Neurospora crassa OR74A: one gene and its partner. The protein of the gene in region 1 interacts with the protein of each later gene in a biochemical or structural test. Links are inferred from orthologs where the notes say so. Each region holds a gene or a part of one and is shown on either strand. Other genes may lie near its edges.

Region 1 (4,601 bases):
TGCCAAAGCGTCATAGGTTTGTGCGCTGCTAAGGCGCATGTAGCCCAAGCTCCCGCCACATCTACGCAGTACCTACGCTACATTACATACACTACGCAATGCCATGTACCTACACTGAGTCTATGTGGAGATGATCACGTTGATTAGGTTCAGTTGGTTCAGTTACAAAGACTGCGGCGTGCTCCGCAATCCCGTGTGGCTTAGCAGAAGCTTGCAGGCTTGGATTCCGTCAGTCTTCTTGCGGGTTCACAGCAGGGGAGGTTGAGAGCTTCTGCGGCACTGCTCCCACTATCGATCTCACCCAACAAAAGTCGACTCTTGCACAGCAACGACAGCAGAGCTTCGATCCAATCAAAGGTCGCACGCTGGACGGGGAGATAGCCGGTCAAATACATTTTATCTATTGTTTCAAGATGCTCATATCGAATACGACAATTCAGAATTCCCATTCTTTTGGATCTCCCAGGCAGATACGATGGCAAGGTGGTCTAGATGGTTCGTCAACCTCGGGTTCGATCACGATGTTGTGGTCAAGTGCGTTGATGGACGCGGTGGCAATTCTCGATCGATCATGTCGGCTGGGTCCAATGTCCGATTCCCCTACAGAATTGAGATCTTGGGCGCTTTTGGGAGACTCCGGCTCTGAAGTGGAGGGCTCGCGCACTACTAGCCCGGCCAGCCTTGTCGCACGTGTTTTGCTTTTTGCGCGACCGGGACTGGCAGTGACTGGCTACCAAACCGTGGGATCGTTATCCAGGTCTAGACAATTTCCTATTGCCTATTTGGGCCAAAACTACAAACCTGGTCAGAACGCATCATATCGTTAGTGCACGCAGAACTCAATCCTCCATTCGTCATCTCATTTCCGGCCTGCTCGACGAACGTTGCCAGGAGGAAGCAAGTAGAAAGGCAAAGTCGAGCCAAAGCAAGGGAATTTAGAATGCCATGCGCCCTTGATCGGATGCAAAGATCAGCCATAACTACCTCTACCTTACTGTAGCCATCTCGACCGCATCACCCCCAGTCAACCCACCAGTCTTTACCAGGGGCAATCAACATGTCCCTCCTGCTCTTGCCCAGAAAGCGAGGCGGCAGGTGAAAGTCACGATGCTGCAGGTCAGGGTTGCTCCCGAGGTCTGCTTCACCCCCTGCCGCTGCACCGTGATCACCACCTAGTAAGGCCTCCTCATTTCAAGGCTGTTCCCAACTGTCTTAACATGGCCTGCAGAGACTGTTGGTTCGCGAACAAAGGCAAGGCTGTACGAGCTGGACTGATAGAGCCAAGAGAAGCACACCAACACCAAGACTCCGCCAATCTCCACAACCTGTCCCCAATGATTTCGGGCAGTCGGTCACCGTTGGGATGTTGCTACACTACCTGTTGTACTAGTGTACACTATGGGCTCTTTAGTGCCATCAGTGCAGACGGACGGAGCTAGCTGCCCGCTCGTACCTAACCCCCGCCGAGCTGGCCTGCAGTGTGCTTGTATGGGTGCCGTCGGGCCACAACTTGCATTCCTGTTGCCTGTCAAACCCACCCCGGATTATTAAGAAGGTACAGGGGCAGCTTGAGCCATGAGGAGCCGAAGGCCCAATCAGTGGTACCTACCTACCTCGATCTGGGCTGCCCCCTATGCACCTGTACCTCTACTCGGCAAAGTAGGACTTTTCACCTCTCTCCACCTTCTCTGTCAGAGCTCCAGAGTTATCACGAACTTTCTCTCCTTTGACTTGTCGGCGACACACTAGGCACCTACTGCTGTCCGACGGCCCCATTGTCGATATCGATCTCTATGGTGGGACCAGTGCTACCTCGCAGGACAGACCGCCTGACAACTGCTCCTTACCTCGACCGCACTACCGCACTGCCCCTGGCACGGACCAAACTGGACTAAGCCGGACGGACTCTGGTGGTAGTACTGTACCTACCTACCTATCTGACCTGCCTAACCCCGACCTGAACAAGTGGAAAGCGCCCAGGTCCCAATTGACCTTTGAGGTGACGACGGCCGGGACCGCCGTGGACGTCGCTTGCATCGCTGCATTCATCCACTTCCATCTCGACGCAAGGACTCCCCCTATTCCGCCGCCACTAGGGGCTCCAGGCCGCGACAGTCTTCGAACCCGAAACACTGGATACAGCCGTTTTTCCATTCTTCACGCCGCTCGCTGACATACCCGATCAATTGATCGAGCTCTGACGGCCCTCCCCTCATTCTGGCTTGCACCCCATGGACAAGCAGGGCCCTGGTGTCAGCCTTGTTTCCCCAAGCAGTGGGTGATTTTGCTGCAGCCTCTTTAGCGAGACATACATTCCTTGACTTGACATCGACAACGACGACCACCGAGGATTCCCACAGATAGACGACGACCCCGACGACCATCATTTCCAACAACTGAACCACACGCCGAGCACGAGACGCAGACACACACGCTCACAGCACACACAGCCACTGGCATTGACTGATACCAGTCTTCCGAAATTGACATCGACACCGCCATCGACCGCGGCCGCGACCGACCTCTCCGGGACGGACGGCCTCGTATCGCATTGGGCGGTGAACAGTTGACGACCATCCGCTGAACAATCGACCATCTAACCTCTCATTCCATCCCTTCAACCCACCATGGCCAGCGAGCTTTCTCCCCGTGCTGTGCGCTTCTCGCAGACGGACGATGAGCCGATTGCCCGGCTCGACAAGCACAAGACCGTGTCCCGACCGAACCCCCGTGCCAACGACTCGGATAATTCCAATCCCTCAACGGACGCCCACGATGATCTCCACGTCCGAGAGCAGATTGACGAGCTGGGTTCTCTAAGTCGATATGTCGAGAGTCATTCTGGCTCGGTGCCTTCTCTGGTGCCCGGGTCCCTGACCAGCTCCCTGCCCCTGGCCAATGGATCGAGCAGTCGCCGCGGTGCTAGCTCAGAGACGTATGCCAATGGGACTCCGTCACGACCACAGCGCCCAACCGCCCCTGCCAGGACGCCTTCCAACACTTATCAGCCCTACAACCAGCGCAGGCCCCCACAAGGTCAGCCTTCGTCCTATATGGCGAATAATCCCCACGCCCGTGATGGCTCCAGACCACGCCCCTTGGCCGGCACTTCAACCTTCAGAGCCCAGGAGAGAGAATATGTGCGCAGATTACGACAACAGGACTACAACAACGACTACTTTGACGCTTACGGCTCCGGCGAGCAGTACGATTCCGATTCCGAAGGCGAGACGCCATCTTCCGAGGGCGCGTTCGACAGCTACGATGATGCGCATATCATGTTCGCCAGTAACGAGGATATCCAGATTACCGAGGAAGACCTGAGAGATCCCGAGAGCCGCGAGAGACTAGAATGGCACGGCATGCTGGAGGCTGTGCTCACCGGTGATGTTGTGCGGCAAGAGAAGAAACGTCTCATTGGCTCCAATGATGAGGCCTTTGGAAAGTCAGCTCACAATGTAGAGCTGTGGCTTGGGATTCGGGCAAGGCTATGTGGTCGACACCTGCCAGTCCAGAAACGGGTCGTCGAAGATGCCCGTGCAGCGCTGGACCGTTCCATTAACGACATTATCAACTTTGCGATTGCTGGAGAGAGCGAGGCAGGAAAGCCGCCATTTGAACAGGTTCGCGATGTGGTTAACAAAATCGAAAGAATCGAGAGCCTCTACCCGTCCAGTAGGGAACTCATGACCGCCCTCAAGCCTGGTGTTTATTCGGCCTATCAGGAGACCTGCGACGCAGTGATATCATGGTACAACGTCAATGAGATGATCAACACAGAGCTGTCGATCTTGAAAAAGTGGGTCGGCAACGATGCTCTCGACTTCTCCCGCACCAAGGAAAAATCACCCAGCGGGAATGGTCTCAGCGATGAATCATCTTTCCTGGATCGTCTCATGAAGGAGGAGGGTCTCAAGTCACTGCACGAAGACAAAGGCTCCGAACCGAAAAGCCTAAAGAAGAAGAGCAGACTCGACGGCATCTCTCGTGTCATCACCAAGGCCAAGGACACACTTATTCAAAATGCCGAAGGTTTCCAGAAGCGCCATCTCCCGCCTTACATCGAGGAGCTGCTCACCCTCATCAGTTTCCCTTCACGCCTCATTGAGGAGATCATCAAGATGCGGCTGGCTTATGCTAAGAAGATGAAGGACTCGGCACAACAAAACCCCATGATGCAGGATCAAATGATCTCGCAGTTCCAGGTTCTTCTCAAGCTCGCCATCAAGATTAAGCGCGAGTACATGGAAATCGCTCGACCGGAGCCCGGTTGGGACTTGCCCCCATGTATTGATGAGGATTTCGACCGTGTCATCCTGGAGGCGCTCAAGTACTACTTCAAACTGTTGAACTGGAAGCTCAGCGGCAACAAGAACACCTTCAAGGAGGCCGAACTGCTATTCCAAGAGTGGGGTTTTGGAAACGAAATCGGGCGTTACTTGGCACACGGCGATGTGGAAGTCGCGGAACAGTTCAGTTCTCTAACCTACAAAGCCTGGAACCGACTGAGCCAAACTTTTGAAAAGGAGGTTCAACGAAGGCCAAAAGAAAGCGTGCCTGAGATGACCAAGCGATATAAACAGATCCTAGACTCCGTTCGG
Region 2 (4,458 bases), about 3.5 Mb from region 1:
TGGTGCCAATAGCTCCCGCCGTAACATGCAAGTGCGCGCGAACCACGGCTCTTGTCCACTCCCAATCCCCCCGATGCAGATGGGTACACACCGTAGCCCGTCAATGGTCCCCTTCCCCCGCCTCCCCCACCCCCGGCCTGGGAGGTGACTTGATTGTTTGGCTGGCTCTCGCTGGCTCTCTCGCTGACTTCCCGCGGCGCAGGCAGGATGATCCAGGAGACAACGTCATAGCAAGATTTCTCAAGATCCCTAGCTCCAATTGCCCCACTTTCCTTTCTGAAGCATGGAAGTTGCTAAACACCAGCAGGACCAAGAAATGCGGTATCTCCAAGTACCACGCCGACATTTGGCGTCAACTGGTGTACCTTCCCTTTCCCCGCTATACGCCGCGGAGTGTACGGCATCTGAGTGGGTTTGGGCGTTGAACTTGACATTCTTCCGCGAGCCGCTCGGACGGCTGTGTGGAGATGAGGTGTACAACACACACAAAAACCTCAAGGCTAGTAGTATAAGGGTTAGGTTAGGTGCTGGTGTTGACTATGGTTAGCTCCGAGGGTGTAGGGACCGATGAGAGATCCTCGCGCATGAATGTGAAATCAGCGCGTCGAAAAAGATCGTTTAGAGCTTTCGTTGTCCATGATCACAGTCGTGCCTCTTTGGTGATGGTTGTCGTGACTGGCTGCGCAGACTTGATGCCAAGCTTTGGAATTTTGCTGAGTGCGGTCTTCACATTTGTAGCAGGCTCGTTCGGATTCTTCCGAGTGCCGAATATCGTACCTGACTCGACGACATGACATAGAACTCGTCTTCCATGTCCACTTGGAGCCAAAGCGGCACTCTGTGATATTGCTGCTGTTGCTTCGTCCTTCCTGTGGCCCTAATCGTTCCTTTTTATATGCCGAAAAGGAAATTATTCACCCAAGGAGTACCGTGACCTGCGATACACTGTGCAGCGAGTCGTAAAACCTTGGCAAATCCCCTGCAGCCCATGGTGTGCCCAGTCTTTCGTTTTTTTTTTTTTTTTTTTTTTTTTTTTTTTTTTTTTTTCCTGTCGACCGACCTCGTTGTCGACTGTCTGTGTCCGGTAATGGGATAGGATGACACTGTCGTGGCTAACTGCGCAGTATAGTGAAGACCTGGTCAGGTGCCCGCAACTCCGCGGACCAGCTGGAGCAAGCTCCGTATATTGGCGGACCAATACAAGCCTCCTCATGAGTTCAATGGTTGGCAGAAAAAAGCCGGACAGACGATGCTCGGTGGGCGAAGCGAATTCTGGGACGTTTTCCTTGGAGCGTTAGCTCAGATGATTGGGGCACTAGAGGTATTCTCGGCATATCGCATTCCCTCTTCCTCCCCTGCGAGCTTGGGACGGGAGACCGGGAATGGAAATGGGGATTTGATGGGAAGTGGAAGGCATGGACCACCTAGAGGGGCGTTTTTTTGCGAAATGCGGAGCAAAAGCCCCTGCTCCGTGCTGCTCGGCGTTTGCCCAGGCAGTGCTTTGGAGGTGCCCACTGCCCGCCCGCTGAAGTGATGAGATGCCCGCCGGCAGCAGTACCTGACCTTCCAGCCTAGGAACCTCGAGTGACCTCAACCAAGAAGTTGGTGAAGTCCTACATCCAAAACCCGCCCGCCAGCCAACGTCGATACCACCTCACCTCCATCATTTTGTGTCCCCTACTGAGGTACCTCCCTACTTTAGTTGGACTGGATCTTGGACCGGGTCCATAGTCGATATCGACCTTTCACTCCGCCGGGCACTACCTACGTCGACTAGTACGTTATCTTTCTTTTCTTCCGCTTCCTCCTCGTTCATATTCTTACCTCTCTCTATTCACAAAGAGAGAGAGAGAGAGAGCGCGCGCGCGAGAGCCACGGCTTGCTTCCACCATCACACCCCATGTTCACGAACCTGCGAGTCTCAGCCGCTGTCCCTCTTAGCCGTGTTCAGAGCTCTCTATCTACCACCTACCCTAGCTTGCACCCCCATTACTAGCTCACTTTCTGTTGGGCCTGCCCGCTCACCCGTCAATCCATAGCAGGCCAGCCATCGTAGCGTGGTGCTTTGTCATCGGTTGCGAACATCGTCACCTTGCAGCTCTTTGCGAGACCAGAGCCAAATCTTTGGATGTTGCGCTTTCGATTATCTCTTCTCTGACGCCCTCTCCCCCTTCCTACATAACCTGTACGAAAACTCCTCCCCTTCGACGACGACGACGACTATACCGACCCAACCTCTTGTTCGAGTTGCCTCTCGACCAGAAAATCGCTTCTCCCACGCTGCCTCGACATACTCCATACCTTTGCCGCCCCTCTTTTCAGAGCCGCTTCAACATCAATAGCAGTTTGCGCCGCATATTGCTAAAGACCTTCCGTCGACCAACACTTTGGCACTCGCCAGCAGCAAAAAAAGAAAGAAAAAAAACTAGTATCGCACAGCGCTGAAGATAAACTACTTGCCAGCATCATGTCGGACCACGATCCCGATCACGGCCCAGCTAGCCCAAATGAATATGACGATGAGAGCAACCCGGCTTCGCCAGGCTCAGTCGACGAGTCGTCTGAGGCAAGCACGCCCATGGACCCGCCAAGCTCAGGTTCAGATGCGATGCCTGGTTTCACACCAGAAGGCGACCTGCCTCGCAGAGTGCCATCATTACGGACCATCTCCGACCCGCAACACACGAATTCAATGAGCCCTAGTTCGAGTGTTCCTGGGACATTGAATGCCGCACGAAGACCTGCGGCATCCGCAGCAAATCTTCCAACGGACCTCATGGCAAAGGCACGAGCTCTGCATCAACAGCGGATGGGCATGGCTCCCCGACCCAGCATGTCGCCGCAGAACAGTGGACTGGGTATGGGCCCTATGGGATCGGGCATGGGCGGGATGGGAAGTATGGGGGGCATGGGACACAGCATGAATTTGAACATGAATCACGGCGGTCCGGCACCCGGCGGCCTGCCCGGCGGCCTTCGGTTACCTCCAGGTATAGCACGACCACCGCCCCAAGGCTTCCCCAAATCCGCACCTGCCATAGCCGGTCTGGGAGCTAAAAAGGCCCCCAGTCTGAGCGAACGACGAGCGATGAAGCTCGGAGGGCTACCAGGAGGGCCTGGGTCGCCGGTGACTGCCACGCCGAAACTGTCAGACATGGGCGCCGAAGACGCCAAAGCGCCAGCCATTAATGGAGAAGGGCGCGGATCCAAGCTGAGCGATTTCAAGAACTATATCGACGCAGAAAAGGGGTGGATAACTTTCGCAGACGCAGCAACCATCACACGGACAGGCGTCAACTTCGCCAACGGACAGACCTTCAGAATCTCGCTAGACGAGGTCGAAGTGATGGACGAGCTAGGCAAGGGCAACTATGGTACCGTCTACAAAGTTCGACATAGTAAGCCCAAGCTTCCACGTTTTGGGCAAGGCTTGAACACCAAGCAGTCTTTATCTCGACAAGCGTCGGCATCAGATGCTGACGTTTCCGATATCTCGCCACTAAGTCCTGTCACTGCCGCTGCGCGTGGCATTTCAGGCAAGGTCATGGCGATGAAAGAGATCAGACTCGAGCTGGATGAATCCAAGTTTTCCACTATTCTCAAGGAACTCGTAATTCTCCACGAGTGCGCTTCGCCCTACATCATTGATTTCTACGGCGCCTTTTACCAAGAAGGCGCGGTATATATGTGCATCGAGTACATGGATGGCGGCAGTATAGACAAGCTATATGCCGGAGGTATCCCCGAAAATGTCTTGCGCAAGATTACATATGCAACGATCATGGGCCTCAAGTGTCTAAAAGAAGATCACAACATCATCCATCGCGATGTCAAGCCCACCAATATTCTGGTCAACACGAATGGACAAGTCAAGATCTGCGATTTTGGCGTTTCGGGAAATCTCGTTGCCAGTATAGCAAAGACCAACATTGGCTGCCAGAGTTACATGGCACCAGAACGCATCAGCGGTGGTGGCATGTCAGCTGCGGGCGGCGCGGCTGCCGGGACCTACAGCGTACAAAGCGATATTTGGAGTTTGGGTCTCACCATTATCGAGTGTGCCATGGGTCGATACCCATACCCGCCTGAGGTTTCTAGCACAATCTTCAGTCAACTCAGTGTAGGTCTTCTTTCTGCTTCCCTATCCTCATCCCTGAAGCGTACACACAAGCTAACAGAATGAACAATCCAGGCCATCGTTGAGGGCGACCCTCCCGGCCTCCCAAGTGAGGGCTACTCCGGCACAGCACAGGACTTTGTCAAGTCCTGTCTCAACAAGATCCCTGCCAAGCGCCACACCTACCCGATGTTGCTGATGCACCCATGGATCAAGTCCCTCGGCAGGCCCGAGACTATCACGGAAGAAGTGGAAGCCGAAGAGAAGGCCGCGGACGACCAGCTCGCCGACGCCACCGGCTCGCTCGACATCAACAGTAACGGACCGATCAACGACCAGGG

Evidence for each region.
Region 2: of the proteins of os-4 (region 1) and os-5, one has a biochemical effect on the other in vitro, tested with the Schizosaccharomyces pombe proteins (2 studies listed by BioGRID). The link is inferred for Neurospora crassa OR74A from reciprocal best matches to the Schizosaccharomyces pombe genes wis4 and wis1.

The regions. Positions count from the first base shown.
Region 1 is NC_026501.1:4,445,148-4,449,748, reverse strand, and holds the start of os-4 (MAP kinase kinase kinase SskB), read left to right. Parts: upstream 1-1,666; 5' UTR 1,667-2,627; coding exon 2,628-4,601. UniProt on the Schizosaccharomyces pombe protein: Involved in a signal transduction pathway that is activated in under conditions of heat shock, oxidative stress or limited nutrition. Unlike win1, it is not activated by changes in the osmolarity of the extracellular environment.
Region 2 is NC_026501.1:7,912,083-7,916,540, forward strand, and holds the start of os-5 (mitogen activated protein kinase kinase), read left to right. Parts: upstream 1-1,571; 5' UTR 1,572-1,776; intron 1,777-2,039; 5' UTR 2,040-2,467; coding exon 2,468-4,120; intron 4,121-4,192; coding exon 4,193-4,458. UniProt on the Schizosaccharomyces pombe protein: Dosage-dependent regulator of mitosis with serine/ threonine protein kinase activity. May play a role in the integration of nutritional sensing with the control over entry into mitosis. It may interact with cdc25, wee1 and win1. May activate sty1.